4 linked regions of the Arabidopsis thaliana genome follow. The protein of the gene in region 4 interacts with the protein of the main gene of each other region in a pairwise test. Each region holds a gene or a part of one and is shown on either strand. Other genes may lie near its edges. The genes, in order: HTA13, MYB105, AT2G28200 and NAC012.

Evidence for each region.
Region 1: the proteins of NAC012 (region 4) and HTA13 interact in a two-hybrid assay, tested with the Arabidopsis thaliana proteins (one large-scale study listed by BioGRID).
Region 2: the proteins of NAC012 (region 4) and MYB105 interact in a two-hybrid assay, tested with the Arabidopsis thaliana proteins (one large-scale study listed by BioGRID).
Region 3: the proteins of NAC012 (region 4) and AT2G28200 interact in a two-hybrid assay, tested with the Arabidopsis thaliana proteins (one large-scale study listed by BioGRID).

Annotation. Positions count from the first base shown.
Region 1 is NC_003074.8:7,225,456-7,232,895, forward strand, and holds HTA13 (histone H2A 13), read left to right. Parts: upstream 1-3,934; 5' UTR 3,935-4,016; coding exon 4,017-4,205; intron 4,206-4,298; coding exon 4,299-4,508; 3' UTR 4,509-4,691; downstream 4,692-7,440. Other genes in the region: OCT4 (organic cation/carnitine transporter4), read right to left, coding at 1-984, 2,644-3,055; AT3G20680 (plant/protein (DUF1995)), read right to left, coding at 4,692-5,708; AT3G20690 (F-box and associated interaction domains-containing protein), read right to left, coding at 6,115-7,227.
Region 2 is NC_003070.9:26,154,358-26,162,227, reverse strand, and holds MYB105 (myb domain protein 105), read right to left. Parts: upstream 4,527-7,870; 5' UTR 4,522-4,526; coding exon 4,050-4,521; intron 3,974-4,049; coding exon 3,605-3,973; intron 3,522-3,604; coding exon 3,322-3,521; 3' UTR 3,134-3,321; downstream 1-3,133. Other genes in the region: AT1G69570 (Dof-type zinc finger DNA-binding family protein), read left to right, coding at 1-457. UniProt on the Arabidopsis thaliana protein: Probable transcription factor that involved in boundary specification, meristem initiation and maintenance, and organ patterning. Functions in both lateral organ separation and axillary meristem formation.
Region 3 is NC_003071.7:12,019,868-12,028,086, reverse strand, and holds AT2G28200 (C2H2-type zinc finger family protein), read right to left. Parts: upstream 4,148-8,219; 5' UTR 3,767-4,147; coding exon 2,906-3,766; 3' UTR 2,717-2,905; downstream 1-2,716. UniProt on the Arabidopsis thaliana protein: Probable transcription factor that may be involved in stress responses.
Region 4 is NC_003070.9:11,861,489-11,869,737, reverse strand, and holds NAC012 (NAC domain containing protein 12), read left to right. Parts: upstream 1-2,583; 5' UTR 2,584-2,787; coding exon 2,788-2,974; intron 2,975-3,069; coding exon 3,070-3,335; intron 3,336-3,771; coding exon 3,772-4,395; 3' UTR 4,396-4,509; downstream 4,510-8,249. UniProt on the Arabidopsis thaliana protein: Transcriptional activator of genes involved in biosynthesis of secondary walls. Together with NST1, required for the secondary cell wall thickening and lignification of sclerenchymatous fibers and secondary xylem vessels (tracheary elements).

The sequences.
Region 1 (7,440 bases), on a different chromosome or scaffold from region 4:
CCAGAATCGCTCCCATTTGAGCTGCTTGAGTCGCACAACCCAATGCCGCGTTCCTCACCACTGTTGGAAACAGCTCCGCGATGTATATGAACAGAAGATTGTACGTTCCTGCCATCCCGAATATCCCTAAAACCCCTGACACCATTCTAACTGATTTCCATGGACCAGCTCCCCATACAGAGAATCCAACGAGGCAGAAAACGCAGCTGAACCACTGTGTCCCTATGGACAGCGGTTTCCTCCCGTACTTGTCTAGTAAAACCGCGGTTATAGCAAATGCCGGCATTTCCGACACCGCGTTGACAAAGACGTTGAGGTAAAGATTGGTCTTGAGGTTGCCTACGTTGAGGCTTAGTCCGTAGTATACAATAGAGACTGTGAAACTTATGGCAACCGAAATGACAAGTCTCATCCGCATGAGAGGCGACAGTATAACATCTTTCAGCGAACCCTCAACAGCGGTATTCCTCTCCCCGTTGTTATTTTCCACATCGTCGTCTAAAGCAAGAGTGACACCAGCTGGAATGTGACGTCCGTTCGTTTTAGCGATCGAATGCATCAGCTTCATCGCCTCATCTACTTTGCCTCTCACGAGATACCACCTTGGGGACTCGGATATGAATGGGATAACAATGAGTAGGAACAAGAGAGATGGTAACGATGACACTATAAAAAGCTCCCTCCACGATCTGAAAACGTAAGCGATGCCGGATAAAACTGCAATGCCCGCGGAGAAGAAGTAGAAAGTTGACATTCCGGCTACACCGCGTTTGCTCGGTCCAATGGGTTCAGTGGCTAAGACAAACGCGGTTAGGCCAACACCACCGGTGCTGAAACCAGTCAAGAAACGGAGAACTACATAGGTCCAGTAGTTTGGGGAGAAAGCTGTCGCGATACCAAAGATTGCGTTGATAATGCATACAACTGTTAGCGAGCCTTTTCTTCCTAGCTTAGAGTCCGATAAATGTCCGAATACTCCTGCACCTGCACATTATTGAGTCGGTACACTATCATTAGGCCATGTTTGTAAGTTGTAATTAGAAAATGTAATCAGAAAAAGGTATACAGTAGTTAAACTTTGGTTAAAGACTTATCAAAGATTTGGTAAGTTCATCGGGACCATAACGCATGTATGGTCTACATAAAGTTGTTTTTTGAGATATGTTGGACCAATGTTTCACAATCTTTTTTTGTTGACATGAAAACGATATCTTCAACCATGGAAGATGACGTCTTCATGCCAGTTACATGTAAAATTTTTGACTAGTATGCAACTCTAATTGGATATTCCTTCGTATATCCTATTCATTGTATAATGTGTATCAAATGTAGAGATTGGATAATCCAGAGCCAAACTGTCCTTTTTTATAAAGTAATCTAAACATTAGCCAAAATAAGGCAAACAACTGTTGGTTTTTCTATTATTTAGGTGGGTCATATTATAATGATCATTTTGTTTGTTTGTTTGTGCAATTATACATGTAGTTAAGATGTTTTTGGCCTCGTTTGTGTCAAATGTGAACGTGAATGTTGTTAGCATCATTCATTAATATCATCATATAAACGCTAACGAATACTGTGTTAACCAAGACCATAAGTAGATGTAAAAACAATTACGGGATGTCAAACATATTTCAAACTTTCATCAATAAGTATAGTTCAAATTTTTTTTTTAAAGTAATGAAATGATGTGGATGAACTTATGTTTTTACGACAAAAGAATCATGATTTAAGTCTGAAGCGTATAACCCAATGTTTATTTGCAGACAAGGCCAGAGGGGCAAGCCATGCCGCGAGAGATTTGTGTGTTTCGACTTTACAGATCAATGCAACGAATTAAGAAGGAATTTTATAACTTTAAACCAAAAAAGCGAACAAGATAATATATAATGTGATCAACTCGTTAGTCAGTCACACGTATATTATACATTTTTTTTGGGTCATTTTAGTAGTTTTGTTTTCTTTTTTTGGCACCAATCATACCTATCAAAGTCTATCTTTTCTTCTTCGCCAATCATTTTTTTTACGTGTGTAAACTTGGACCGCCTAATGGGTTAAAATTTTAAAGCATTATCATCCAAAATTTATAATATACTATAGAAATGAAAGGTATATCGGAAAAAAAGTGAGGTATATCTTTACTCTATAGTGTTATTTTCTAAAATTCGGATAATCATAAAAGATTCATGTGATCAAGGCACGTGGTACGAATATCCAGATTCAAGCCAACGTGCCCATTGATCTGCTCTTACTAATTTATTGGTGCGATCGATATACACTAGCTAAGTTATGCACACAACTAACAACTAATTTATTGTTTGTTGATATATTCATTAATTATCGGATAATCACGTAAAGAGCTAAATCCACTAAATTACAAGTTCATAATTTTAGAATGATTTTTTTTTTTGTCTTATCGAATTAGATAAGACACTCAGAAACTATACTAAACTCCTAATTATGTATTTATTTATTTTTCTTAAGAAGATAATCCAAGATTAGAGTTTAATCTTCTTTTTTTGACTGTAATTAGAAAAACTATTCGACGTGAAAAAAATCATTTTCACGCTACAGCTGTAATTTACTGTTTTTGTAATTTTCCTAAATCACAAAAAAAATATAGAAGGGAAAAAAAAAACTTACCGATCATGCAGCCGGCGAAGAAGAGAGCCTGAACAAGACCAACTTTATACTTGTCGCCGCAAATCAATCCCCACTCCGACACCGTGGAGCTCCCTTTACCCGCCGTCCATTCCCAAGAACTCGGATCCAACTCGCAGTTCAATGACCCGACCCGACAATCCGACCCGACGCATCTCCACTCGGGTTCTTGATCGGCAAATATCATCACCATCGTGTGGAACGCCTCTAAAGCCCAAGCAATACACGTCAACACGAAGTGTTTCAACTGCCACCTCCCAAACTCGCCGCAATATCTTTGTAACATCTCATCTATGCATAATCTCTCCTCTCCCTCCGCTTCTTTCTTCACCGGAATTTTCTCTAGCAGCGGTTGTCGGACATCGTTACCGTTTCTATCCTCCGGAGATTCCATAATTTATGTTTTGATTTTTACAGTGTTTTTGTTTTTGTGTTTGTGTTTTTGTTTAAAAGGCGTTCTTGATTTGGTTTGACGCGAAGAAGGAGGTGGCTTCTTTGTCGTATTTATATCTCTTGTTTATCGGAAAACAATTTTTCCTTCTTTTTTTCTCTAGCGTTTTTTATTCTCTTTTGATTTAGTAACTATTTTTTTTTGTTGACGATATTGACTACATGCTCTGCTTATATATATTTTAACTATGTCATGTTATTAACGTTTATGAGTTGTCACTTTGAAAATTAGTAAGACACATCATGTATTATTTCTCAAATTAGTATTGTACATTTCATTTCAAAGTCAAAAACACATGATTCTATATATGGTTGATTACCTAATGTGTAATCGTGAATTAGTAATTAATACGACATGCTAAAAATTGATTAATCATGTTTAGAAAAATATATACTATGATAAACCTGAAATTGTGTCACACAATTTTGATGAATGTATATACCACATTTCCATATTATACGTTTTAAAAGTAAGATTTTCATAAATTTTAAAATTATTCATAACATTCACTAAAATTAGATGTGTATAATTAACAAACTAAAAATATCATTAATCTACTATTTTAGTAGTTATTTTGCGAAAATATGTTTGAGTTACAAAATATTTTCACTATTTAAATCATGTCGATTATACCCACTGAAGGGTATTTCCGTCAATCCCAATTCTAACAATGAATTCAGGAGTATAAAAACGTAAATTCAAGCGTGCCAATTATAAACCGTCGATCATAATCTAATCCAACGGCAGTAACATCGATCCGCGTGATTGTTTATTATTGGATAAGAATCACTCAACCGTCTCTACACAGTATATATAATAACCAAAGAGCGTCCTCTTACGCTTATCTTAATTTCCCTCGCATTGAGAATTTTCAACTTTTTCTATCTCTCTTCCCAAATCACAAATGGCGGGTCGCGGCAAAACTCTCGGATCTGGCGTTGCTAAGAAATCAACATCGAGAAGCAGCAAAGCCGGTCTCCAATTCCCCGTTGGTCGTATCGCTCGTTTTCTAAAGAACGGCAAGTACGCAACACGTGTTGGTGCCGGAGCTCCGGTTTACTTAGCCGCCGTTCTCGAATACCTCGCCGCTGAGGTAATTATCCCCTTCTCTCCCTATATCTCTTTACTCTTTCGATCTTCAATTTCGTAAAACCCTAATTTCTAAATTGGATCTGTTGTGTTGTAGGTATTGGAATTGGCTGGAAACGCAGCTAGGGATAACAAGAAGACTAGGATTGTGCCACGTCACATTCAGCTCGCGGTGAGAAACGATGAGGAGCTGAGTAAACTGCTTGGAGATGTGACGATTGCTAATGGAGGTGTGATGCCTAACATTCACAGTCTTCTTCTTCCCAAGAAAGCTGGTGCTTCAAAACCTTCCGCTGATGAAGATTAGATTAGGGATTTGTGTTGTGGTTGTTTAGCTAATTAATGTGTAGCTTAGTCTTTCATTAGATTAGATCTGAATTAGTTTTCATTAATGGTGTTGTGTAGTCTCTCTTTTGCTTCAAAAACAAGTATTAAAATCTTATTATTTTGAATTGAATCCACAATCAATACACATTGAAGTCCTAACAAACTACTTCTTCCCAGTGATATTTGAAACCAAATCACTAAGAAACTTAGCTGATTTGGTAATAGGAGAATTCATAGCCATCAAGTTATACAGAACAAGCTCAACTTCTTCGATTGATGGTCGAGAATTGAATTGTGAAACAACTTTCAAAGTACCATTACCTTCTTCTTCTTCAACGAGAACATTCCATCTTTCTCCACTCACAACACCGTCTCTTACACACTTAAAGATCACTCCTTTTCTCTTACTAAACACTCCTCTCACTTCTAAGCCAGTGAACGCATAAATCACTTCAAAGGAACCAATAAAGCCATCTCCAAAGCTTTTCTCTTCTTCAAACAACCATCTCGGATTGATCATTACTACAGGTTTTGTAGAAAAAGCTTCACTCGCGGTCTTAACATCCTCCAGCTGCGATTTCTCCGGAGCCATGAAGATCGCCACGTCAGCAGATCTCAGAGCTGTTTTAAGAGAGTCTGAGACCGGAGACATGGCAATGTGGTGGATAGAGTCTGACCGGAAAGCTTTAACGGCGGGATCGATGAATGAAGGGTTAGGCCAGAGGAAGAGAAGCTTGACATTAGAGCCTCTTCTCGAGATGGGTAAGTCATGAAAGATCGAGAAAGCGAGCTGAGAGAGTGACGAAGGAGAATCATCGTCAAGGATTGGGATTTCAAGACGGAATCTTGGTTGTTTGAGCTTCCTGAGTTTTGGGGAAGCGAGTTTTGGGTTGTTTAAGGGTTTGATGAGACATGAAAGGAGACAAGTTTTGGCTTGATTAATGGCTTCTTCTTTGGAAAGGGGAGGAGAAGAAGAAGAAGGTGAAGGAAGAGAGGAACAGAGAGGAGCGAATAAACGAGTAGTGGTTGATTTGTGGTTGAGCTTTGAATGCTGTTGTGAGAGTGATTTGGAGAAATGAAGATGGAAAATTCTGGAATTGGGAGGAGATAACGAAGGAGGAGATGGGTTTAGAGCTTTGAATGTCTGTGAATTGAGTTTGAAGAGAGTCGAAGAAGCCATGGCTGATCTCTGATGATGAGGAAGAGAAGAGAAAGAGGATAAGGTTGTTCAAAACTTCAAATAAGAAATGAGACAAAACCGATCGAGTTACATAAACGAAAATTTGATTTCGGTTTGGGTCGGTTTATATAACCAAACCGAAAATAAAGTAAACAAAACAAAGGAATTGCTTAAACAAAAGTACCTTGCTCGTCACTTGTTGTCTCTCTGTTTTGTAATTTGATAACTTATAAATCTTCATTATATAATTGCATAAAGAGATGAGAAACAAATTAATATTAAAATAAGATGAAAGCAAGAAGACTAATTCATAGGTCTGGTTAACTTGATTTGAATAAAACTTGGAGCATAAGAACACATAGGACCTGGTGTGCATAGAGAGTCACCGAGACCCACTGTTTTGAGACTACTTCACAGAACTTGGTACATAAGAGCACACAAGACGGCAAAGTGGTTGATATAGAGGTTCACGGAGATCCGCTCTTCTGAAATAACCATTCTCTCCAACGATGTAAGCTATGTGGACAGTGGATTTGAGCCCCTCTGTCTCCTCTTTATTAAAAAACACTACGACTTTCTCTTCATCATAAATCAAGTATCCCTCAGTCAGAAAAAATCTTGGTGTGTTATCAACTTTTAAGAACTTGCTCCACGAGACTTCATCGGGCTCAATCTTGTTCGTAACCCAAATATCGATCTCAGATTTGCCACCCCGCCACCGCTTTACTAACACCGCAAGCTTCTCTTCTCTTACCACATATAGACTCCCCAAAAATTCATCGATGAAGGGTTGAGGTAGAGGCAGACGCGGTCCGAATCTCTCTCTAGTAAAATCAAAGCATATTAAATAACAATCTTCTGATCTTCTATCTTTAGCATACCAGTAAGTATTTCCCTTCAAAGACACGCCATCTTGCATAAACGCTATATCCCATTTAAGAGGGAAACTAGAAACCATCCGTGAATTAGACCTCAAATTGTAGATTTCAAGTCTATTAGGGTAACTATCGAAAACCCTTAAGATTTTGTGGCAACCACAAGATTTGTCGTATCCGAAAGCAAGTTTGTCAAAACTTGCAAAATTATTTATGCGTTTGACCCATTCACGTTTCCCCCAATACGGGTTACAAACCACAAGCCTAATACTATCATCAGTGATGCTTCCGTATAACAACAATAAACCGTTGCAGTGAAAGACATTGAATATTTCCTTGAATATTAGATCTAAATTTTCTAGGTGAAGAATACCTTTATTCTTTATAGATAGATCAATAATGTTGTTGTTGTTCTGAATACCATGGAGATTGACGCCAATTGAATAAACCTTACAATCTTTAATCATTATCAAATCTCTTTTCCCTGATGCGGTTACATTGCCGATGTGCTTATTTGCAAAGCTCCGATGTTTGGATAGAACGTTCCAGGTTTTGCAAGTAGATCGCATTGCTTTTAAAGATATCAACGGAAGCCTAGAGAGAATCTCCTCCACCAAATCATGTGGAAGATCGGACATCATCATCGTCGCTGTTTCAAATTTCGAACAAGGATTGATCTATTTGGCGCAGATGTTAGGTCAACTTTCATAAACTCTTTTCTTTCAGACTATCGATAGATTGTTATTGAAGACACATAAACCCTAGTATTTAATTGTCTGAAATACACAAAACTCTCAAACATCCTTGTTTATTGGGCCACTCTTATTTTTAGCCCATTGGACGTATTATCCTTCCGC
Region 2 (7,870 bases), about 14 Mb from region 4:
TCTTCCTCCGCAAGTAATGTTACCTAATAATTCTTCTCCTTGGCCTTACCAATGGAGTCCAACGGGTCCTAACGCTAGTTTCTACCCTGTCCCCTTCTACTGGGGATGCACGGTTCCGATATACCCTACCTCAGAGACTTCATCATGTTTAGGAAAACGGTCAAGAGATCAAACTGAAGGAAGAATCAATGATACTAATACAACAATAACTACTACAAGAGCAAGATTGGTCTCAGAATCTCTTAGAATGAATATCGAAGCTAGTAAGAGCGCTGTGTGGTCTAAGTTACCGACAAAACCCGAGAAAAAAACGCAAGGATTCAGTTTGTTCAATGGATTTGACACAAAGGGAAACAGCAACAGAAGTAGCTTGGTCTCCGAAACTTCTCACAGTCTACAAGCAAACCCTGCAGCGATGTCTAGAGCTATGAACTTCAGGGAGAGCATGCAACAATAATCAGACACTAATATAGATATATATTCATGAACTGAGAGATTTGAGTTTGGCTAATTGTTACCTTGTGGAAGAAGGCAAAGCTGTGTAGATAGTTTTGTTGTTTGGAACTAAGAGTAGATATAGTATTTACTGTTGTACACAAACAGAGATATTTTTGGAGCTGTAGATATTTCTCTCCATTGTGTGATGAAGTTGCAACATATATAAACCTTTAGATTAATATCTACGTGATCTATCTTGAACTTACAATTACGTTTTTGCCCATGAATCATGAGATAAATATTATCTCAACTCCAAATTGTCCTCTCTGGTAAATACATGTCAGATGAGCATGAGGTACCAGACTATTAGCTTGTACGATTTTGGTACTTAGTGTAAATGGGTCAAACTAATCTAAGATAAGAGATAAGAAAAGAGGAATATGAAACCAAAGAAAGCAGAGCATCTTTCACTTTCATATTTGGATTAAAGAGAAGAATCCAACCACTGGCACTGAAAAAAAGCTAAAAGAAGAGCATAAAAGTCACTTTTTCTAAAAAGCAATTATTCTTTTTTTTCCAATGTCTTTTTCCATTCTTTTTGCACCTTCACTAATCTTTTATACTACTCATTTTGATTATTACTTGATATGTTGTAATGTTTCTACTTATTAGTATGGATACTTAGCTTGTTGCTCTATACCTATTTTTATAACCATGTAATTCCAAGATTTGGATCATAATCATTTGAGATTTGACACCAATCTTTGTTAATACTTTCGAGTCTTCCATGATCATGAAACGTAAATATAATGTCCTTTCAAATGAGACTTAAATGCAGATTACAAAACTTTAAAACAACAAAAATATTACTTGTTAAACTGTCAGCATTTAAATCTTTCGATTGTCTAATAATTTAATAGAATTATAGCATATCACATTTTGAGAGGCAACCCAAGTTCATGTTATATAGTTGATCTCATATACTATTCTTCCACAAAAAGTAAATAAATGTTTTATTTGTTTTTGAGCTCTACAAATATGTGAAAATTAAAGGTCCATAAAGACTGGTTCTTTTAGCTGCACAAAAAGCTTAAAATCCAGTTACGTTTAAAGAATAAGCAGGGAGGCTACGCATGTTCTTTTCCCAAACCGGAAGACTGTTCTAAGTTGTTGGTGAGTTCTCATTTTTAACAATGGATACCGAAGGAACACAAAAGTTTGAGGTGCTCGAGTGGAGAGAAAGAATAAAGAATAGAAATGTACTTGGAGAGCAAATACTTAAAACCATACGCAACATCGGTAGCTCAAACATATAGAAGGGTTTTGGAAAATTCGTTACCAAGGTCTAGTCATCATAAAAATTGCAAATGATTTATTAACTGGAATCATTATTATCATACGACTAAAGACTAAAGTTATGAAATAGATTTCTTAAATGTGAAAGAAAGGAATAAAGTTAGGTAGACTTTGTAGGAGGCCACTCAGCTTTCACCTGGACCATACGTATATGTTCTCGTAAAGTAGTTCAGCTTTTTTAAGGAAACAAACAGAAAAAATTGTTTTCTTTTTGAATAATAAAAGAAAAAGAAAAAGTCATGAATATTTAATTATTGGATTACATAAGGAACTACATTAACATGAATGTTCCTTTGATAGAGGTTTTGGTTTGATATTTACTTCAACACTTATCTGTTTTCGACGTTTTGATTTAAATTTTAATCAACCAATATATACGTTATTGCTTTTCACTTATCGTTTTAAGAACATCTAATAAATTAGAAACAAAATTGAGATATTCATTCTATATTGGTACTCTCTCGCTCGAGAAATTGAATCACATCGGTTAACATAAAAAAAGAAAAAGTTGAAACACTTCCAAACAAAACTGAAATTGGGTCCGAGAATGGGCCTAAGCCTGGAATAGCAATAGATTTTAAGTGGTGCACATTGCACACTCCTTACCGTTTTATCCTTTTCTTGTGGATCTTATGGAACCTTAAAAAAAAACAATTAACAACGGGAAGTGTTTAGTGAAAAACGGTATTACATAAATTTAATCTTAATTTCATAAATCAATCAATTATTTCGATTTAGTCATAGAAATGTGTTAAGCTGGACTAAAACTACAATGACGTATACAAATAGTATCATGATACAAATCAAATGATTATTACAATGAACAATAACTAGGAGAAGGGGCCATGTGGGTGACATGAGGTCGATGAGACGCATAAGTAAGGGGCAATGAAATGAAAATATGTTTTTGCTTTGGAGAGAATAAAAAAATGCAATGGGTGTGAGAATATTAAAGAGTGGATGTTTGGACTTTCTGTTGCAGAATCTGTGCCTGAATCTTGCAACCTCATCAATATCGCATGTTGTTATTAAACTTCTGCATACTCCAAATAAATACAATGTAGTACATTATTCCTTTTAATTTGACTTCTCTATCGTTCTTTGTCGTTTCTTATATCCACATCATCGTCCCTGTTTTAACATATGTCACCTTCCTCTTCATATACGAAGCATGTTGTTACTCTCACTCCATACAATTTTTGGACATTAATGACGGAATCTGACATTTTCATATAAGATAAGAGTTAGTTAGAACTATAAAGTGGTACAAATGTTTTACACTTCAAATCAATTTTGGTAAAGGTGAGACAATTTGGCATCTACATAAATGAAAGCATTGATTTTAACCAACGAGTGGTATATATGTACGTGCTAATTAACACGGGGTAAGGAATGTTGCATGTGACTAAGGACAACAACATTTAATCTACAATTATTAACGCAACATAACTACATCGACAAGGACTCAAATCATCTCATAACTTTTGTTAACTAACTCAAGCCAGTCTTGTTCATGATCGATGATGATCACACCGTCCCCAACCCAAGAAAATCGAAAAATGGTGGTTTCTTCTCCTCATTGATTCTTTCAAATATCTCACTCTTCCCGGTTTGGTTTAAGAAATCGAATGTAGTTGCCTCTTGTGTCCATGCAATGTAATCGCCAACCATCATTTGGGTTTCGAACATATCCACCATTAATGGACTCTCATTTTCATGATCATAACCTAAATAGTACAAAAAATGGAAGAAAATTAAGAAATGATATGGAATTAAAAACTGAAAGAAAAGAGAACACAAAAACTCAAACCTGGGAAGCAAGGAACTGGTAACATAAGCTGCTTATGGTCACTACTAGCAAGGTGGGTCAAAGCTAACCGGGTAGGGTCAAAATCATTGAAAATGTGAGGATTAGGGTTAATGAGTGGCTTAAGAGAAACCATCGTCTTCCTCCTACGGTAAGAAGAAGATTGTTCCCTAAACTTGCGAGCCATTATAACATGCCAATGGTTCTTCACAGAATTATCAGTCCTACCAGGGAAAAGCCTCGCTATCATCGCCCATTTGTTACCATAAAGCCTATGAGCTTGCATTAGCCTCTCTTCTTCTTCCTCAGTGAAGGCTCTTCTATTTATCCTTGGGTCTAGTTGGTTAAACCATCGAAGCCTACAGCTTTTCCCTGCTCAACATTAACACCCAAAATCTCAAGAACGTGAATCTTGTAAAAGCTTAATCAAGTGACAGAATTAACGTACCGGATCTTCCTTGGAGCTTCTCAGCTATGAGGTTCCAGTTTTGTGGACCGTAGACGGCGACTAGTTCTTTGAGCTTAGTATCTTCAGCTGGTCTCCAATGTCCTCTAGACACCGAAGCTTTTGACGAGTGTCCACAGCTTCTATAGACTGTTGTGTCTTTCTTGTTGCAATTACTGTAATCACTTAGATTAGGGTTCATGTCTTCTTCTCTATGACTTGTGTAGTAGCTACGGAGATGTTGAGCATTGTCGATATTTAAAGAGAAGTAGTCCGATGAAGTGGTCTGATCCATCGAATGGTGTTGATCTTCCGACATGATACAATGTTGTTGTTGGTTATAGTGATGATGTGAGGACGAAGACAAAGAAGACGGGAAGCAAGGTGTTATGGAGAGAGACGCCACGTCAGCATGCACCATCTCCATCCTCATTGGAGGAGAAGAGCAAATATTAAATATGACTTTGAACATCATAATTGATATTTGTGTGATATTATTACGTATGGCTCTAAGCTATGTGCGTGTATGTATATGTTGTGACCTTGTTTTCTGACAAAATGCTGTTATACAACTGTTAAAAGGTTCATGGACTGTCACGGACTGATTTGAAAGCTGATATATATTTCTATACATTTGTATTTATGCATTGTAAATTGTTTTCAACACTCAGTTTAATTTACATTCTAGATATTTTAATTTAGGATTATTGTATAAATAGTATTATTATCTCTGGTTTAAGTTATAACCAAATAGCTATAATCTACATTTACAATAAAATCCAATAACATTTTCACAATAATTGTCACTACTTAATTTTGAAAAAACTAGGAATGTGGAAACGTATAGAGATGAAAGAAATAAATAAAAATGCTAGGACAGAGAAAGAGTAAAGGACAGGGAACACGTTTCCTACGTTGTGAGCAGTGGAGATGTGTTTGGAAAAGTGGAGAGAGATGAAAAGTTGTTAAACATCCGTAAACATCTTTTTTTTTAGTTCAACTGCTTTTGTTCTTTGTTGCCCCAAACAAAACATCATATTATTCTACGATTGCTTGCCAAACAAAATCTTGGTATTATCTTGTTTGAATTTCGAACTATGAATATGATCTTCTTCTTTTTCTTTTTTGTTCAAGTAACAAGGCGATTTCACCCCAAGTTTTAACTATTTTCCGCTTGATACATATGAATTAAGCGTTAGGTATTCTTGTCATTTAATACATTCATAGTGGTCACTGCTCATGCATTATCAAAGTTTTGAATTCTATCTCACAACCAATTTGAATTAACCACTAAACCATCACAAATTGGTTGTTTATTTGTTTTTCCTTTACAAAGAAACCTACAATTTACAGAATCTTTTTTTTTTAAAAAAATAATTAATGATTTTGTTGTTGTTGTTGGTTGCTACCGAAAATTGGAAATAGTAATGAGGATGAAACTAAACATCTGAAGTAGTCCCAACTATAACAGCCAAAAAGGCTCAAAGCATACATTTGATTTGACTCTTGCGTCTTTTATTTTCTAACCACAATTATATCTCTCACGCACACTTCACATGTCTTTTCACCAATCCCCATTTATCTCTCACTCTCGACATTTTGATGGTTTATATGAAACCCTCTTTCTACGTACATAGCCGGTCTCTTCATAATGTGAATGTTAATGATCTTCCCAAACGAGTCCGTTTTTCATATAGTCTTGACTACTTGTTGCCATATCAATTCTACCATTTACTGATTTTAAAATTAACTATCCAACCATATGTCGCAGAATTCGCTGTTATAAATCATTTTTTTAAGGGATCGGCTAGACTTATTAAGTTATTATCGTTAGAATTTCTGTCGCAATATGAATATTCATAACACCATAATGCAATTTTAAAAAAGAATGTAAAGTATTTCTTTTTTTATTATTAATTAATTGTGCAGCTATAAATGCATATACGAAACATATATTATCCCATATATACAAAGGAAATACCTAGGTTTGGTGAGACTTTAAGCATAACGTAGATGTATTTATTTGACCAAAAAGATATCAATTGGCAGAGGAATACATTATCTCAGATTCAGAGTATTTGCTGCAGACTTGTACGGTCCATCTGCAGAGATTAACTCAACATTTCCTATGGTCCTTTTTTCTTGGTCAATAACTTTGAATATATACTTTCTTAATTTACACTAAATTTGTGTCATACAGTAGATGTGAGAATGGATAGTTACTTTTTCAAAGATACGCACTAACAAAGTAACACTAACCATTAGCAGGTTAATTAAGGATATCTACACCCAACCCAATTACCTTCACTTTTATTTTGTTATCATTTGAAAAGAAAAAAAAGTATATGTTATCTACTTATTTAAGTTAACAAGTATTTTTTATTTTATTTTTACAAGTTTTCGGGGTTCGTTTATAAAAAGCCATTAAAAAAAGGTGTTGATTTTTTTGGTGACGTCTGTTTCAATAACTGTAGGGGATAGAATTATTAGAATTGAATTTTCAGTTTTAAATGTGGAACATATACAATATATAATGTCGGGAAAGGAAACAGATTCAGAAATTAATGCATAGGATCCAATTCATATCAACAGAGAAATGTTTTGCGAGTCTACTGTGGTTCATTTTCAAATATGCGACACCACGAACTGATTTTATAGCGTACCATGTTCCATCAATTCAACAACACGTACGTGCATGCTCTGCTCCTCATTTTACTATACCTAAACACACGCACATTGCTCAATTATACATCGATCATTTCGGAGCACATAGTGACATAGCCAACATAGGCAATAGCTAGTTTAATAGACTAGCTTTGGGTCTTACTAGGCACAAAGCCTCATCAAAATATAATACGGAGATTTTAAAAAACAAAACTATGGAATTATTCTACAAACTTCATAGACTAGTTTAGAGTTCCCAAATTCCATAGGTTACAAAAGTGTCTTGTAAGTTTTTATACTTAAAGTTAAGAGTTTTCAACTAGCTTTCGCTAAAATCGAGTTTAGTACGTTTCATTTGATTGGATTCAACCTGCTTTTGGTTTAGGATGATTTCGAACCGACCGAAAAAACTATACAACATGGTGGATTGGACATTAAAACAGGAAAACAAGTGATGATCGCATAAATGAACAAGAGACTGAAACAGGAGGATTTTTTTAAAAACAATGTGGACATGTACACGAAGAAGACTCACTGTTCTTAGAGTCAACAAAAACCTCATGATGTGAAAGCTAACCAAATAGTAACAATCTCTCAAATATGGGAAACGAATTCCCTAAATATAATGACCTGTCTATTATCATAGCCCCATTGCTCTATTTTGGGAAATTTTATAACCTTTTTCTCCTCAAATCATCACCAACACAACCAACAAAAAATGTAAAACCGTACCTTCAATCAACACTATAGATGTTGTGGCCTCATTCATTACATTCAAATACAGAACTACGTATATGAGTTGTCACGTAAAGGAGCAAGAAATTTTAGCCTTCTTTAAAGTTTTCACCTAGATTATACATTTTTTTGCAACATTTTTTTCAACCTGGTCTAGAGAGGTTATAATTTTTACCGACAACATTCCAAAGTTTCAGTATTCGATCGGCAATAGATATTTGCATGAAATTGTGAATAAATTGTTGGAATAAGCAAGCTGATAATCCGTACCAAAAATTGAAGAAGCATAAGGAGAATAAGTTTAAGCAAAGAGGCTGAGCAAAGTCCTTCAATGAGACTAATTTTCTTTCTTATTAATTTAAACAATATTAATTAATTACCATTATTAGTTTCTTTCATTTTAAACACAAAAATTAATTCTAATT
Region 3 (8,219 bases), on a different chromosome or scaffold from region 4:
AAATCTATTTTTTAGGAGTCCTGAATCAAATTCAACTAATAATACAGGAAGACATGAATACTTTTCTACCCCCAAGATGAAACAGAAGTCGATGTAAGTACATAGAATCCGACAACACAGCTTACACAACTTGAAATAACCAAGTTACACTAGAATTGATTAAGTTAATCTTTTACAAGGATTACACTTAATCGGTGTTACACAACACTAGACCTACCTATAGATTGTTCCCGAAAATTCTAGCCTAAACAAGTTTACTAATAAATCACCCAACAGTGAATCAATTGATATCTCCCAACAAAAATATCTAAGGAACTTATTCAAGCAACCAAGCCACATGATAAAAGAGTGTTTAGGGACTGCCCCTGAAAACCAGACTGACTTGCTTGTGCCAAGAGACATCTGGTTTTGTAGTCCTGATCTTATTCCAAGTATCAGAGAAGGTAAACCGGTCTTGATGGTGGCCTTGAATTCATGACCCACAGAAATATATCTTTGTTGGTTTCTGAGATTTGAACTGATGGTAGGTGACATAAGAGGAGCTCAATGTTTTGGCTTCAAGCACCTCCAAATATCCAACCATCCCCTGATCTTTCTTGAGCTACTTTCGATTTCAAAGGACGACCAAGTAGCCTATGAGCTTCTGCTCCTAAGAACGTGTGCAACTGCCTAAAAGAAGTCCAATTATCATACCAAAATGAGTCCTATCATCATACCAAAAGGAGCATGATTTACCGTCACCCACTTTGGAAGAGAGAAAGGTTTTGGCCAAGGGTCTTAGCTTTAAAAGCTGCTTCCACATGGAGGAGCCTAGATGCTAGACTCCAAAAACACTGCTTTCTTAGCTTACAAATATCCAATGCAATGCTAAATCGAACAATAGTAAGTAAATTATTGTAGGATAAATCAAAATACAATCAGAGACCTTAATCAAAATAGTTAAATTCACACTAGAAGTTGTATATATTTCTGTAGAAAGAAATGTGTTTCTATTAATAATTCTAGATAAACATAACCGTCGACTAGTATGCTAATCGAACATTTCGACTCACCAAAAATGTGAAAAAAAAAAAATGTTAGTGGAAAAGAGTGTGATACTTAAGAGTAAAAATAATACTACAATCATATTTAGACTCGAGTACTATTGGACTTGTGGATCAGTATGAAAAAGTATCGCTTTTAGTAGTTATAGTTATGTAAATGACACCTACTTATATATACATTTGATATATTTTTCTGACTTGGGTTTTTATATATACATTTGATATCTTGACCACAAATATATATTACATATATATGAATATTAGTGATTTAGCGAATCATGAGAGTCAATGGTATCCACCTTTAGTTTCATTGTAGCTCTATAGTTTTTTCACTAATCTATAAAATAAATTCCTAAAAATAGAAGTTGTATAAAGAAATTCAGATCATGAGAGAACAAGAATAATTATAAAATAATTGCAAGAATAAAAGTTGGATCATGGATACAACAGCAAGAATAATCCTAAAAGAGAAGGACTGGAAGCAAGGAGTGAAGCGGTGAGTGAATCTTGTGACTGTTTCTGCTGTCACTGTTTATCTTTTTCCTTTCTTTAATTATTTGATTTCTGCTCTTTTTTCTTTTTCTGTTCTGTTATAATAATTGTTAGTCTGTCATAATTGATTAAAATAATTCATATATTTATAAAAGTGTAAATGTGGTGACCAGAAAAAATAACAACCCAAAACCAAAGAAGAACCTAATCCACGTCTATTTAGTTGTGGTTGTGATTCTCTTGCCAAACCCTAAGCCGGTCATCACCACGTCCATCTCGTGTCCACTGCCTTTCTATTTATTTATTATTTTTGTATCAATTCACAATAATTTTACATGATAATGTTTTTCTAAAATTTTCTTTTTTTGAAAATATGAATTCAAACTCGTATATACAAAATGGTAATGAAATGAGAATGATGAGGAAATTCTCAAACTAGCATTGGTCCTTATAGCATAAAGTCGTAACAGAGACATTATTATTATCTCTGCAAAGTAACAAAAATAGTTAGATATTTTATTAGAGTTTTCTTTTCTAATAATCAGGTGTATTCTAAGTTTAATCTTAAATAATAAAAATTGAAACTATTAAAATCAGATATTTTATTGTCACACTTTTAAAGGGACCAACATATATGTCTATTGGACCAAAAGTCCAAACTAATCTCCATAACCTTATAAAATCAAATAGTTTTGTCACTCTAGACGTCTACAGTAACTTATCATAGTTAAAAATTGCAGAAAGAAAGTTTGAACTCTCGTCTTCCAAAGTCATACGTTACCCATATGACCAAAAAGTTGATTTATATTGGAAATATTTTCCTAATCTTTTTTTCTAGATAGTTTATGCTATGACATATTTTGTTGCCAACGCAGAACACCACACCACGATACAGCGTTTGGCTGCAAACGGAGAATCTAAGTAATCGTGGGAAAAGAGGCGTCTTCAAGTAATACAAATAGTTGCTTCACATGTTCAAGAAAAAAAACAATTTTAGTAATTCATAATTTGCAAATTTTGTTAAATAAAATAAAAATAACAAAAAAATACCTTAAAAAGAGGGAAAGAAAAGATGCCTTGGAAGTCACTTACTTTTCGTGAATGAAAGGCAACCATGAACACTAACCACTTGCTTACTCAAACTATTCTTACTTCAACAAGTAGATCATCTAACTATCACACAACCCTTTACTTAACTCCCACTATATTCCTCTCTTTCATTATAACTTGCACATTTCATTTTCCTCTTTTCTTAAAAATGATAATATTTGATTCAATTTAAAAAAAAAATAATTCCAATGATCAACAATATAGTAGTAAGTAAGAAGAATTCACAAATATTTCATCATATTATGTAGTAAAAAAAACAACTAGTAATGACAATCTATTAACGCTGGTGTTGCTGAGAATACTATCCCTTGAAACTTTGACTCTCTTAGATCATCTTCTGGTGCTGGTAGATTAAGATCCAACGGTAGATATTTCCTCTGCTGTTCCATCGAACGGCCTATATTGATCTCAATCTCTTCCTCTGTACTGTTTCTGCTTACTTCTGCGGTGGCTGCAACGGGGCTAATCGTGGTTACGGCTGTCCTGTGCCGCCTCATGTGACCACCGAGAGCTTGCCCGGAAGTGAACTCAGAACCGCAGATGGAACACTCGTGTACTTTGTTTGCCTTGTTGATGATGTTACTTGCCTGTGAAGCTAGGGCTGAGCCGGAAACTTTGAAATGACTGTTTTGCCCTTCTTCTGATGCACTAGACTTGGGTTGCGTCAGGGGTAGTCTAGTCTTTTCCTCAGTCGACGTCCTCGGCTTCTTGTGGCTCGCTCTGTGTCCACCAAGTGCTTGGAACGACGAAAACGTCCGGTTACACGTTTTACACTCGTACACATAGAAACTAGAATTCTCCGACGAAATCTTCTGATGAATTTTTCTCGAGTTCTTGAGATCCGGCGATGGAAGAACTGTCCCACGAGCTAACATGATGAGACAAATCGCCATGTCTTCTTCTTCTTGCGTACAATCAGTAGTCACCGGAGACGAAACCGCCGAGTTGTATTCATCTGAAACAGCTCTTTCTCCTCCACTTCCACCGGCCGATGAACTTGTTGAAGTCACTGTTGTCGCCGCCGTCACCACAAACGTCGAAGACGATCTTTGTCGCTTCGTACGTTTCCCTTTTATGATTTGCGTCTGATCACTCCCAACCTCATCTTGACCCATCATCATATCCAAATATAGTAAGAAAAGAAGACCAAAACCCAATTCAAGAAACAAATCAAGAAACAAACCCAATTCAAGAAACTTCGAAATTATGGAGAAGAGAATGAAATCTTTGGTGTTTATTATGTGGAGTGAACTAACAAGAGAGAGACAGAAGAGAAGAGAGAAGAGAGGCAGTGAAGAAGACGATGGTGGGGCTGCTTATATATATATTTATCGGAAAAAAAAAGAGAGAGGTTATAAGTTTGGTGGTTGTTAATCTTTTTAGTTTACTCCACAAAAGATTTTACACATCGATCCACTTTACATTATTATAATGTTTTTAGCTAACCAATAACATTTTGACGGTTCACTCTATACCCATTACCTGACACTTCTGCGTTTTCTCTGCCAAATTCCATAACAATAAAATCAATCAACAAATTTATAATTCAATGATGAAAAAAATATGACATGTAAATAATTTTTCTTCTTTTCTAGTTTCTGTTCTGTTGTATCTACTTTTAATCCATATCTTCAAAATCTGATCTCTACCTAGATCTATATACCAGAAGTCAACCCTTCATGACGTTTTTTCATTTATTAGTATTGTATTAGACAGCTTCTTCTAGTACATACTTTCTAATAACAAACATATTAATATCAATTGGTGTGATTAATCAAACTCTTGAATCATTCATATTCCATAATTAACAGAGAATTGTTATTAATTCCGAGTGAAAATGATTAATATTGTTTCAAGCAAAAGTAGGAGAAATAAAAGGGAAAGTGAAACCCGTGAAGAGTTAACCACTGAATTAGGCAAAGGTTCATTAGTAGTGTTGAGTGGCACTTAGGCCACCAATTCACGTTTTTGTTATTTGTTTTTATTTATTTAGTTTCGAATTTAATTTTTGGGAGTGTGAACATTCAGTTCTAAGGACAAAGCAAAGGTTTTACTTTCACGCACTTTAGGTCCACGTCATCAAATCGACGCTTTCAATGAGAACCGAAATAGATAGAACTAAAGATAAAAATGTTCACGACAGCAAATAAAAAGAATATATTACATATTATTAATGGTCGTGACGACTACAAGAAAACTTTTGATTAAATGTTTTGAAATATACTAATAAGATTATCAAAGGGAAATAATGATTCACAGACATACATGGTTCATAATTAGGAGGCGACATGCAGTGGCCGGTGTTTATAGGATTAGGTGCATTCATCGGTGGCATGTTAGGCTAAAAACAATATTAAGCTTAGTCTTTGTTAATGTGAAGAGACAACACCACGACTTTTTTTTTTCTCTCATTTTTTAATCATATCTTGATTAACATTTGTAGAGAGAGTTGAAAGCTAGTGCTCAATTGGTTATCTACTAATCTTAAGACTGGAAACAGTTTTAAGATAATTAGAGATCTATTTTTACAATTGAGATTAATTAACATACTCAAATTATAGGCCGACAAAAAAAAAAAAAAAACATACTCAAATTATAGAAATTTTTTATGTAACATTACTTTATTGTCAAATATTGGAATGTTACATTTTTGTATGGACAAGTGACAACTAACCATTAAAACGAGTTTACACGGTACATCCAAAAATAATACTTTATAGATTATAGAATAAGTAATCTATAGAGAAAAGTTCAAAAAAAAAAAAACTATAGACAGAGAATAAGTTATGTCAAGATTGAGAGACCGGAAAATTATGAAGTTTAGGGACCTCAAAATAATTATTTAATTTAGCTAGGCAAACTAGATTAAAATAATTTATTCTGGAAAAATTATACACCTTTTTTTGTCAACATACTTTCAAAGTCTCACAGTGGGAGATTGAGGCTTGAACCCATATCTATGCATAAGGTATAATGCATAGTGGCTAAACCACACCACAAAATCCTTGTCAAGGACTCTTTTTAAAAAACAAAAATCCCTGTCAAAAAAAAAGAAAAGAAAAAGAAAGAAGAATAATAATAAAATATATTTATTTTTAACCACTTCTAAATATTAGTATGATAATCATATCACTTACTTTAATTTTACAATCAAATTTTGGTTTATATTTTTCATAATAAATATTTTTATAGGATCTAAATATGGATTTTGACTAGAAAAATATAATTGTCTTTACTTCAAATTGGAAAAGAAATGTTAGAGTAAATTCATTTTTGAAGGAATAATAATTATATTAAAAAATATTCTCTTAAGACAAATGGTATAGAAATTTATATAAATTTTCAAGTGGATATATATAACATAATTTTTGGGCTAAGGAACGGTTATGTGTGGGATGCAAGTATGTTACATACACAAAACCCATCACTTCTTTCCTTCACCGTAATATTTTGCTAATTTCATGCAACATTTTGACTTTACATAGGGATTGCTGCTCCCATATATAATATGTGTGCCACTATGGACTATAAATACTCATGTTTGTTTTTGTATTGATGTATGTGTATGCAACTAAAAAGTGTTACAACTTGCCACTGGAATATACCAATTTATACCAATTAAATGATTACGATTTTGCATTATATTTACTTTTTCTATAGCCGCAAGTATTAAAATTTAATCTTGATAGAGAAATTAGACTTATTAGTAAGTCGTACCATATAAATGCTACCGTTAAGCTATAGTATAAAAGAAAGGACCTAGTTATTTTTATTAATAAAGATTTGATTAGGCGCAATAATTCTATAACACGATGAAATGATTGGAAGAAGTTACTCTTAATCACGTTGGGCTATTCCAAACCTTATTGTCTTGTACTTAAAGTGGCCCTCACATCCTTTGCACAACAATTTAATAGATACACTCACACATGCATATTCATATTAAAACCATTATGTATTTAGTGGTCCTAACAAAACTAATTATATCGGTTTCAGTTTTACAGTCGAGACGATACACAACCATGTACTCATTACGTATACATGTTTAGATACATAATGAGGAAATAATTGAAATGATTTGGTTGCTAATCATAAACAAGAAAAAAAAACAGTAAATAAAAAATTAGGAGACAATAGAAGAGATGCATGATGTTGCGTAAAGCAACGACACCAACAGATGTGTGGCTAAAAGCAATTAGTTTTTTACTCACCGCGTTATATTTCCTAAAACATAAATTAGTATCCTCTCTATAATTTTACATAAATTGGATTTCTCTGTTTTAATTAGTACATTTGGTGAAATGTTAAAATATGGTACAACGTATAGACTATAGCTCTATAAAAATTATTATAAGAAGAAAAAGCCGTTTTTGCTAAAAAAAACATAAAAAAAATAAAGCAAGTGGAAAAATAGCTAGGACGAAACCAAGTGATTATGAATTTAAAGATCTTAAACAAGGGATAAGGATGGACTCATTCCCAAATAAGATCAGCACTCGAAACACAGTGGATGGGAACGAGCTTATGGTTGATAGTTTTAACAACTTTACCGGCGCTTTTGCATCGACCATGGGTAATTCATCCATTTGAATTTATCCATCAAGTTGTTTGCGCTTTTATATTATCATAACCAAACATCCTTAGAGTTGGTCGAAAGAACAAAAATTAAATATAAAAGATGGCGTTAGATAAGAATCTTCTAAACTATACGTGCTAATTGATTCACCTAAGGTAAGGTACTTCGGTTCGGTTCAGTTATTTCGGTTTGATTTTTTTGTCCCAAGCTAAGGTAAGGTATACATGGCGTTATAAAATTTGTCTAAGCTAAACTATACATGGCATGACGAGATTCTTCCAAAAATAATGGATGATATTTAACCAAACATATATATATACTCCTATTTAGTGTTTCTTATTTTTAAAATAATTAAATTAAAGTGAGTTTAGGTTTGCAACTAATAGTTATACGCATGTCAATTTATCACATGCTCAAGGATCAAAGCAACGTAAAAAACTATTCTATACTATCATTTATTTTCATGTTACATATATATACTGAATTTTTGAATTTTTCAGTAAACTTTTAGTAAAATGTCATCACTAGCTACTAGCTAGAATTAATAGAATAAAAATCTAACACATAGATAAATGGAGAAAACAATTTTTATTCCACTCATTCTTCAAATATAGTAATCTAGATCAATACATGTTTTAGAGCCGGAATTCATATTTAAGAACTTATTTGTTTTAACAATAATTGAGTTCGTGGCGTCCTTCTATATACCTACGTTTTATGGTTTAACAAACTATACGTAGAAGTTTAAACTCACCAATGTCTATTGTCTAGTCGAAGTCTTTTTGATTAAGAACAAAATAAAAATAAGACTGAAATAATGAAAGAACAAAGAAATAGATAAATATGACGTACAATGTTGAAGATACTAGTATACAAGAATAATGTAAGTTAGCAAAACAGAGAGAGAAAGAAATACTTAGCGTAAGAAGACAAAGGAGAAGGAAGTGTGAGGCACGTAAGGGTTAAGATGCACCGCCGCCGCATCTTTAGTTGTATCA
Region 4 (8,249 bases):
TTACATAATTTAACTTATAGGTCAAAAGAATTTGATTAGTCATTGCAACTACGTGTGGATGTCACTTTCTATTCAACCAAAACTCACAATATTATATGATCTAGTTTTGTCGTATTACTGATTTGTATTATAAAATGTTATTTAATTTGAATTCTACGTAGATATTGCTCATGCATGATAGTATGTATCTAAACTATTCAAATAACTAACTACGTGGATATTTTATAATCCAAGTAAAAAGCAGAAAGTGGGTAACTACGTCAGTATGACTATACTTTTATCGGAATTGCTTGACATCCAAACTTTTGCTATGCTTCACCAACCAATGCAGTTTCACTTAATTATTAACTATTGACTATGTCTTATTAAGTTAGCACTAATTCGTTAATCATTCAAAACGTTATTTGATTGAATTACATATTACACTCTCTTTCTGCATCACCACTCACACCATATGCAACTATAACCAACTCATCACATTCAAATGTATTAATTGGATTTTGGTGCGAGATTAAAAATTGAAAGGAAACAAAATATGATAATGGGATAAAATCTTGAACGGAAACTCAAACTAATCCTCATAAGGTATAACAAAATAACAATTTAAGCTAAGCACAACAACATACAAGTTCGACCTTTTCCTTTGATGATCCAGCCCAACAGTTCTCTTATATCTCAAACCATTCGACCATTTGAGCCAAACTAGCTAAACCTGCAGGAATCAAAACCAACAAAGATTCAGATTAGCTAAACCGGTTTCATCCCTTTGTCACATGACTCACATCCGTCTTCTACATAACGATTTCTAATGATGTGAGCTCTTAACTTGCTCCAGCAAGATCATCAACTTTGGAGCACCTTCAATGATTTAGTTAACATGTTAGATAAATTAAATATTCTTGTTTCAATATATATCAACTTTAGTGTAAAAGCCTTAACATTCTCTTGAATATTTAATTTATTTCTCCTTATTTCGATTTAATGACAAATGTGAATTAATTTTTGTGATATTTTTGTTCGAAATTAGTTTTCAGTTAATAACATACATGTGAGCATGGGACACACATGATTTAACAAAAGGGAATGACGAAATGATATATCAAAATATTAGTATGGGAACAAATTACGAGGTGAAACTTCACACTCAACTCAATTAAAACTAGAATAAAGAAATGGAAAAAGTGAAAGAATGAGAGGTCAAATGTGGTTAATCATTATGTGGTATTAGTTAATCCATCAATTGTGTACCCAAAAGCATGATTAAGCATAGAATTTAGAGAAACAAAACATCATTATTAATGTTGAAACACAAAGATCCCATCAACAGACAAATGATAAGTACAGTGCATGTAGGGTAACAACTTTTATGTACATGTTATATACTTATATTATATAATAAGAAAACGATTAAAGTGTCATTGCTCCAGCCTCTATTTGTAAATCATATTATATCAGTATGCTTAATTCCAATAATTAAGTCCATAACTAAAATATATACACATATATGTATGTTAAATGGTTGAATATATACATATATTTTCATAAACAAATATTGCTAATTAATTCAGTTATTTGTGTACATAATCCAACTATCACCTTTTTAGCTGGAAGTGGATATTCCAACATGTCAGTCTGTCACTCCCACATTCATACTCTCTATTCTTTTTAGCTATTTCAATATCTACGGTTAAATATTAATGGCTATATAGCCTTACCCTTCATTTTAGTTTTTTTTTGGTATTCGCATAACCATCGAATACTCAAACTTACTATGTAAGATGGTCTGAATAACTATTTCCGATTTAAGATGAATAGCTAGATTGAAATATACATGCACTAATTGGACATGCACTAAAGGCAGAGGTGAATTAAATGATGAAATGAAGATGAAGTGTCACACTTGTGCAAAAAGCATGTCCCCTGCTCTTCTCCGCTTGTTTCAATTTCTTTGACTTTCATCACGTTTTTGTCACTTAAATACACCAAAAAATATAGTACAATTAAACATCGAAAATCGTCCAAAAAGAAGAAAAAAAATCATGGAAAGTTCTTTCGTTAATGTTACACACATTATCTTGATTAGGTGACACCAGATATTAGAATAAAAATGATAGATTATGAAAAGAAAAAAAAAATTGATGTATTTTTAGGATACATCGAAAGGAATGAACATACCAAAAACATGGGAAAAAATAGATAACTAATTAACATGGTAGAATGTAGATGACGTAGATCATGAAACGAGTGTGTGATATATTAATGAAAATTATTTTAATATACGTAGCTATATTAGAAAATAATTTACATTTATTTTCTTCTAAACAAATCTATACTTTATATTTACATACATTAGTAAAGACCAAAACACATGGAATTCAAATTCTGCAATAAGTAATTGCAAGAAAACACAAAGATTAATCCCCCACTAAACCCGTTTATTTACGTTAGTATTTTTCCGTTTTATACATTACACATGACATGACATTACACGTCAAAAGAAATATGTCTTACGTCAGAACTTACGTATGATCAAACTCGATTTAAACATAGAAACATCTGTTTACTAAATTATACTAATTTCATAAAGACACTTTAATGCATGAACTTCTTTGTTTAAATAACAATTTCCCCCTTTTGGGGGCTATGTCTCGTCGAGTCCTACCACCATTATAAATTATCTCATCGTTTGCTTTCTTTTTTTTAAGTTGTAACCATTTCCACTCGTAATCATACAACTTCTCTACTCTTCTAGAGCAAAAACCCAAAAATATATTGCTATCTTCGTTAATGGCTGATAATAAGGTCAATCTTTCGATTAATGGACAATCAAAAGTGCCTCCAGGTTTCAGATTCCATCCCACCGAAGAAGAACTTCTCCATTACTATCTCCGTAAGAAAGTTAACTCTCAAAAGATCGATCTTGATGTCATTCGTGAAGTTGATCTAAACAAGCTTGAGCCTTGGGATATTCAAGGTTAAACCCTAAATATGAAAAAAAACTCTTTCATTTCTACGAACTCTCTATTTCTTTGTTCTTTATTTTTGAACCATTTTGGTATGCAAATGCAGAGGAATGTAGAATCGGTTCAACGCCACAAAACGACTGGTACTTCTTCAGCCACAAGGACAAGAAGTATCCAACCGGGACCAGGACGAACCGGGCAACAGTCGCTGGATTCTGGAAAGCTACCGGACGTGACAAAATCATCTGCAGTTGTGTCCGGAGAATTGGACTGAGGAAGACACTCGTGTTCTACAAAGGAAGAGCTCCTCACGGTCAGAAATCCGACTGGATCATGCATGAGTATCGCCTCGACGATACTCCAATGTCTAATGTAAGTATATATAGCAATCATCAATTTGCAGTTTAGGTTAGAATAAACAAATTACAAACTTATAGTCAAAGAATTAGCTAGATTCGTTTCATGCTATAAAAGGTTTTGGTTCATTTAGTACGCACTAGAGCCTTCTTTTAGCATCTGCAATTAAAGTAATCGAACATGATTCTCTGAGTTACAATAAGATAATTTCTTATGAAATTAACACATCATATATACATTTATATAAAAAGATTTTTTCACAAGGCTTAAAATAGTTTAACACGGCTCTACAAACAATACGTAGTTAACTAGTTATGGTTGCATATCCAAAAGAAAAACCAACATAAAAGATTTTTTTTTTTGTTTCAAAATAAAAGTTGCATTTTTACATCATCAAGATTTAATCATCTCTTATTGCATTTCATAAGATCGATTTGTGTTCCATTATCAGGGCTATGCTGATGTTGTTACAGAAGATCCAATGAGCTATAACGAAGAAGGTTGGGTGGTATGTCGAGTGTTCAGGAAGAAGAACTATCAAAAGATTGACGATTGTCCTAAAATCACTCTATCTTCTTTACCTGATGACACGGAGGAAGAGAAGGGGCCCACCTTTCACAACACTCAAAACGTTACCGGTTTAGACCATGTTCTTCTCTACATGGACCGTACCGGTTCTAACATTTGCATGCCCGAGAGCCAAACAACGACTCAACATCAAGATGATGTCTTATTCATGCAACTCCCAAGTCTTGAGACACCTAAATCCGAGAGCCCGGTCGACCAAAGTTTCCTGACTCCAAGCAAACTCGATTTCTCTCCCGTTCAAGAGAAGATAACCGAAAGACCGGTTTGCAGCAACTGGGCTAGTCTTGACCGGCTCGTAGCTTGGCAATTGAACAATGGTCATCATAATCCGTGTCATCGTAAGAGTTTTGATGAAGAAGAAGAAAATGGTGATACTATGATGCAGCGATGGGATCTTCATTGGAATAATGATGATAATGTTGATCTTTGGAGTAGTTTCACTGAGTCTTCTTCGTCTTTAGACCCACTTCTTCATTTATCTGTATGATTATCTATACATACACATACACAAAATATAAAATAAAGTTTGTTAAAAAATGTCTCATGTTCTATTGATAGTACGTCTTGATTTTGGGGTTTAACATTTGTTAATGGTGGAGGGTAATTTTTTTATAATATTTATAATCATAAAATTTACGAAGTTAAAGAATGATATTATATACAAAACTTGAATAACGACTCTTTCAATTGCTTACTAAGCTATTTTAGAAGTCATTACATTTAGTTCTTTATCTTTGACTATTAAAGCTAAAAGATGTCCAAAAAAAAAAAAAGCTAAATGGTAGAACTTTTCACATCCCTCATCTTTCATTCTACATTTCTTACATGCCCACTATTGAATTTGAATCCAAATTATGATACGAAGATTGCCATATTTGTACAACCACGAGAATATATGTTTATCGCTTAAATCTTTTGTATTTGCGAATCATAAAGCCCATAGGCCATAGTGAGAGTTAATATTCGGTAAATTTGTACTTTGGTTCAAACGCACATGGTGAATCCGTATTTTATAAAAAACTTTCTAAATTAATAATGAGTTAATGACAGAACTATGATGTATATGTTAATTTATAGTAATATTATTTTTTCTATAAATTTCAAATCTCAAATTTTTTAATTGTATTATCATTTAATATTTTATCTTAAAACTAATTTGAAAAATATGAGTAGAGAAAATTGATCTTAAAAAAGTTTACTGGTTTGGATATTATAAATTTTATAGTTCCAACTTGAACATTTTGATATTTAAAATAAAAATCTTTTGATGGTGAATTAGAAAGTCTATACTCTATAGAATTCACTTATGCAAAAGATATATATATATATATATATATATTAAATTAAAAATAAAAATCTTTTGATGGTGAATTAGAAAGATATATATAGTCTATTGAAATGAAATGATACATATTCGAAATTAAAATTAAAGATTCTTAGATTAAAATAAAAAACTGAAAGAAGTTTTGGCTATTTTGATGACGAAGTTATAGACGATACTAGTTAATACTATATTTTGAAAACACAACAAAAATAGAGATGAAATCTAACGTCAACTTTTATTTATTTATTAAACAGCTAAAACTAATACATTAATATATTTTGAAAAATTATTACTATTTTATACATCTGAATTTTTTTATTTTACAATATTCCTATTCCAGGAATGTTTTATAATATTTCTTAATTTTGTGAATATTAATTTATATGTTTTACTGTATAAAAAACTAGCATATAACACGGCTATTTTTATTAGTTTATCTGGATAAAGTATCATTGTCATTTTGATGAAGGACTTGTATAATGAATGAAGTGATACTTATTTTGACTTTCATCTAAGTAAAGTGTACCAAATAATAACGCAGCGTAATAAGATTCTCGCTTCGCTATAATTACTTCACCTTTTGGTGCAACTATGTTATTTTTTCATTTTCGTTGGAAAATCCTCATGTCGTTTTTCTTGTGCAAATACGACAATCCAATTACCACTTATCAAATTACGTAACCAATAGTTTTTTTTTGTTTTTCTTTTAATTTTCTGACTAATATTACTAAAAAAATAGTGATGTTATCGAGAAAAGTGTAGAAGTAAGCATATTGGAACACACAAAAATGTCTGAATATAGTTAATTATACGGATCAAGAATCTCGTTAAACGCAAGATAATGGATCCAACTTGGCTCGATTAATGAATTGGAACAATGTCACTAATGAAAGAGGCTACAAGACACGATTCAGTTAAATGCAGTATGACAGTGCATTGTCTTCAAATTGTATATACGGAGACTTGCATTGGGAGATTGAACATTAGCTTGATACTTCAGCATGTCGATGGAAAACATAGCCATCAACATTTTAGCAATCGAAGTCCGAGTGAGCTGATTAAATTTGAAAAGGGCATGGGACATTATATTGTAGGTGGTAAAGCAACCATATACTTCAACCTTAAGTTGTTTCTTATTTTTGCTTGATAAAAATAACAAACCATATATACATCATTTCCCTTCCAATACACTAACAAAGTAACAAAAATAATTAAGATGCTTAAAAAATAAATATTATTACAGGAATTATAACATTCTTATGAATTTTAATTCCTTCTTTTTTGAAAGAGAAATTTGTCTAAAAGATTTGAAAGAGAAACCTAAAAATTTCCATTCAAGATAATTTAAGGGAAACAAAAATTATGAACAAAATTTTACCTAAATTAATATTAATCTATTTTTAAATATTTGTTTTAAATTTCTCAAATATTTTCAGAAAATATATTATTTTCCCAACTAACTTGTAATTTTCAGTAACTACAAATTAAGGAACCCGTTTATACATTCACTGTGAAAAATGTCGTTGAATTTCCCTACAATTACTATTTTTTACAACAAAATAAATTGAGGGTCATAATTCTGTCTATGATCCGAAATTATTGATTCTGGAAAATAATTTGAAACAAACAGATGGTAAGTCATAATCTCACAAACTTTTGTCTATATTGACTCTTTTTTCCAAAATAAAAGAGTTGTTAAATAGTTTTCAAACGTTTTGACAAAAAAATAAAATAATAGTTTTCAAACTTTCTGATTAGGACTAACATTAGCCTATCTATGAAAGCAATCTCAAATTTGGGTTATGCCGACAGATATTCATCACACAGCCTCTTGACAAATATTCGACCACATATCTTCGACTTTATACATTATAACCTGTATAAATTAACATTGTCAGACACAAACAATTTTATGCTCTAATTTGATAATTGTTGTTAAAACCTATGTTTTATTGCCTTTTAAAAATATTTGAAAAATAAAATTGTTGGCTAGTGATTTACATTTGAAATGTGTATTTTTTTTCTATGGGTATAACCGTATAGCATAGCCTACAGGGAAGAGATCGATTCTTTTCAAGAGTCTGATTTTTTTTTTTTTTTTACTTCGTACGTTGACCACCCATAAACATCTTTAACGGCAAAAAAATAATACACGGAATCTATGGGCCATGAGGATTAATTTGGGTTTTGGCCTAAGATTCAAAATTGTTACCAGAAAAAAATATATTAAGTAGTCATAATTTACAACTTACACGGACTAAATAAATTATATCAAACAAAAACCATAAAATTGACATAATGTATATTAATCACTAATGTTCTTTTACTTCAAATAAATGATGTAAAGATTTTTAAAGGCATATCAAATCACTTAGCTATCGCTTTTTTTATCCCTTACAGAAATGACATTAGTATCCACAAGTGATGAATAATTGAAATCACTTTTGTATGTTCATCCTTGGTCAATTTCAAGCAGACTTGTGCGTTCGGAACAAGGTTTCTATGCAAAAGGCTCAAAATGGAGTTCAATACTTCAATTAGTCTCCTGATCTGGTTTTCACATCAATACTCAACTAATTCGTCTTGATTTTGTAGGAGCTAAAATTAGCAAACATTACGTAAAGGCAATTGAAATCAAAATCACAAACATTAAGGAAAGAACATGAGATGAGACGAGTTGATGAACTCTTCCCTTAACCTTTTAAATCACCCGTAGTGTGACAGTTTCTGTGTGATTTAAGGATCTCAGGATACAACCTCTATAAACTGATTTTGCATCACTCGAAACTCAACTCTAACGAAAATAGTTACTACGATACTCTCGAGACTTACTTTTAACAGAAAGAGATTGTTGGAGCTTTTGCTATTGCTATTTGTGTGTAACTATCAAAGACTTCACTGTGTCTCTCCAAGACTTGAAGCATGACCTATTTATATAGGCTTGAAATACTTAGGTTTTTAATTTGTTTCTTCACAAAATCAAGCAGAAATCTAGGAGGTGGATGACGTGAAGGAAT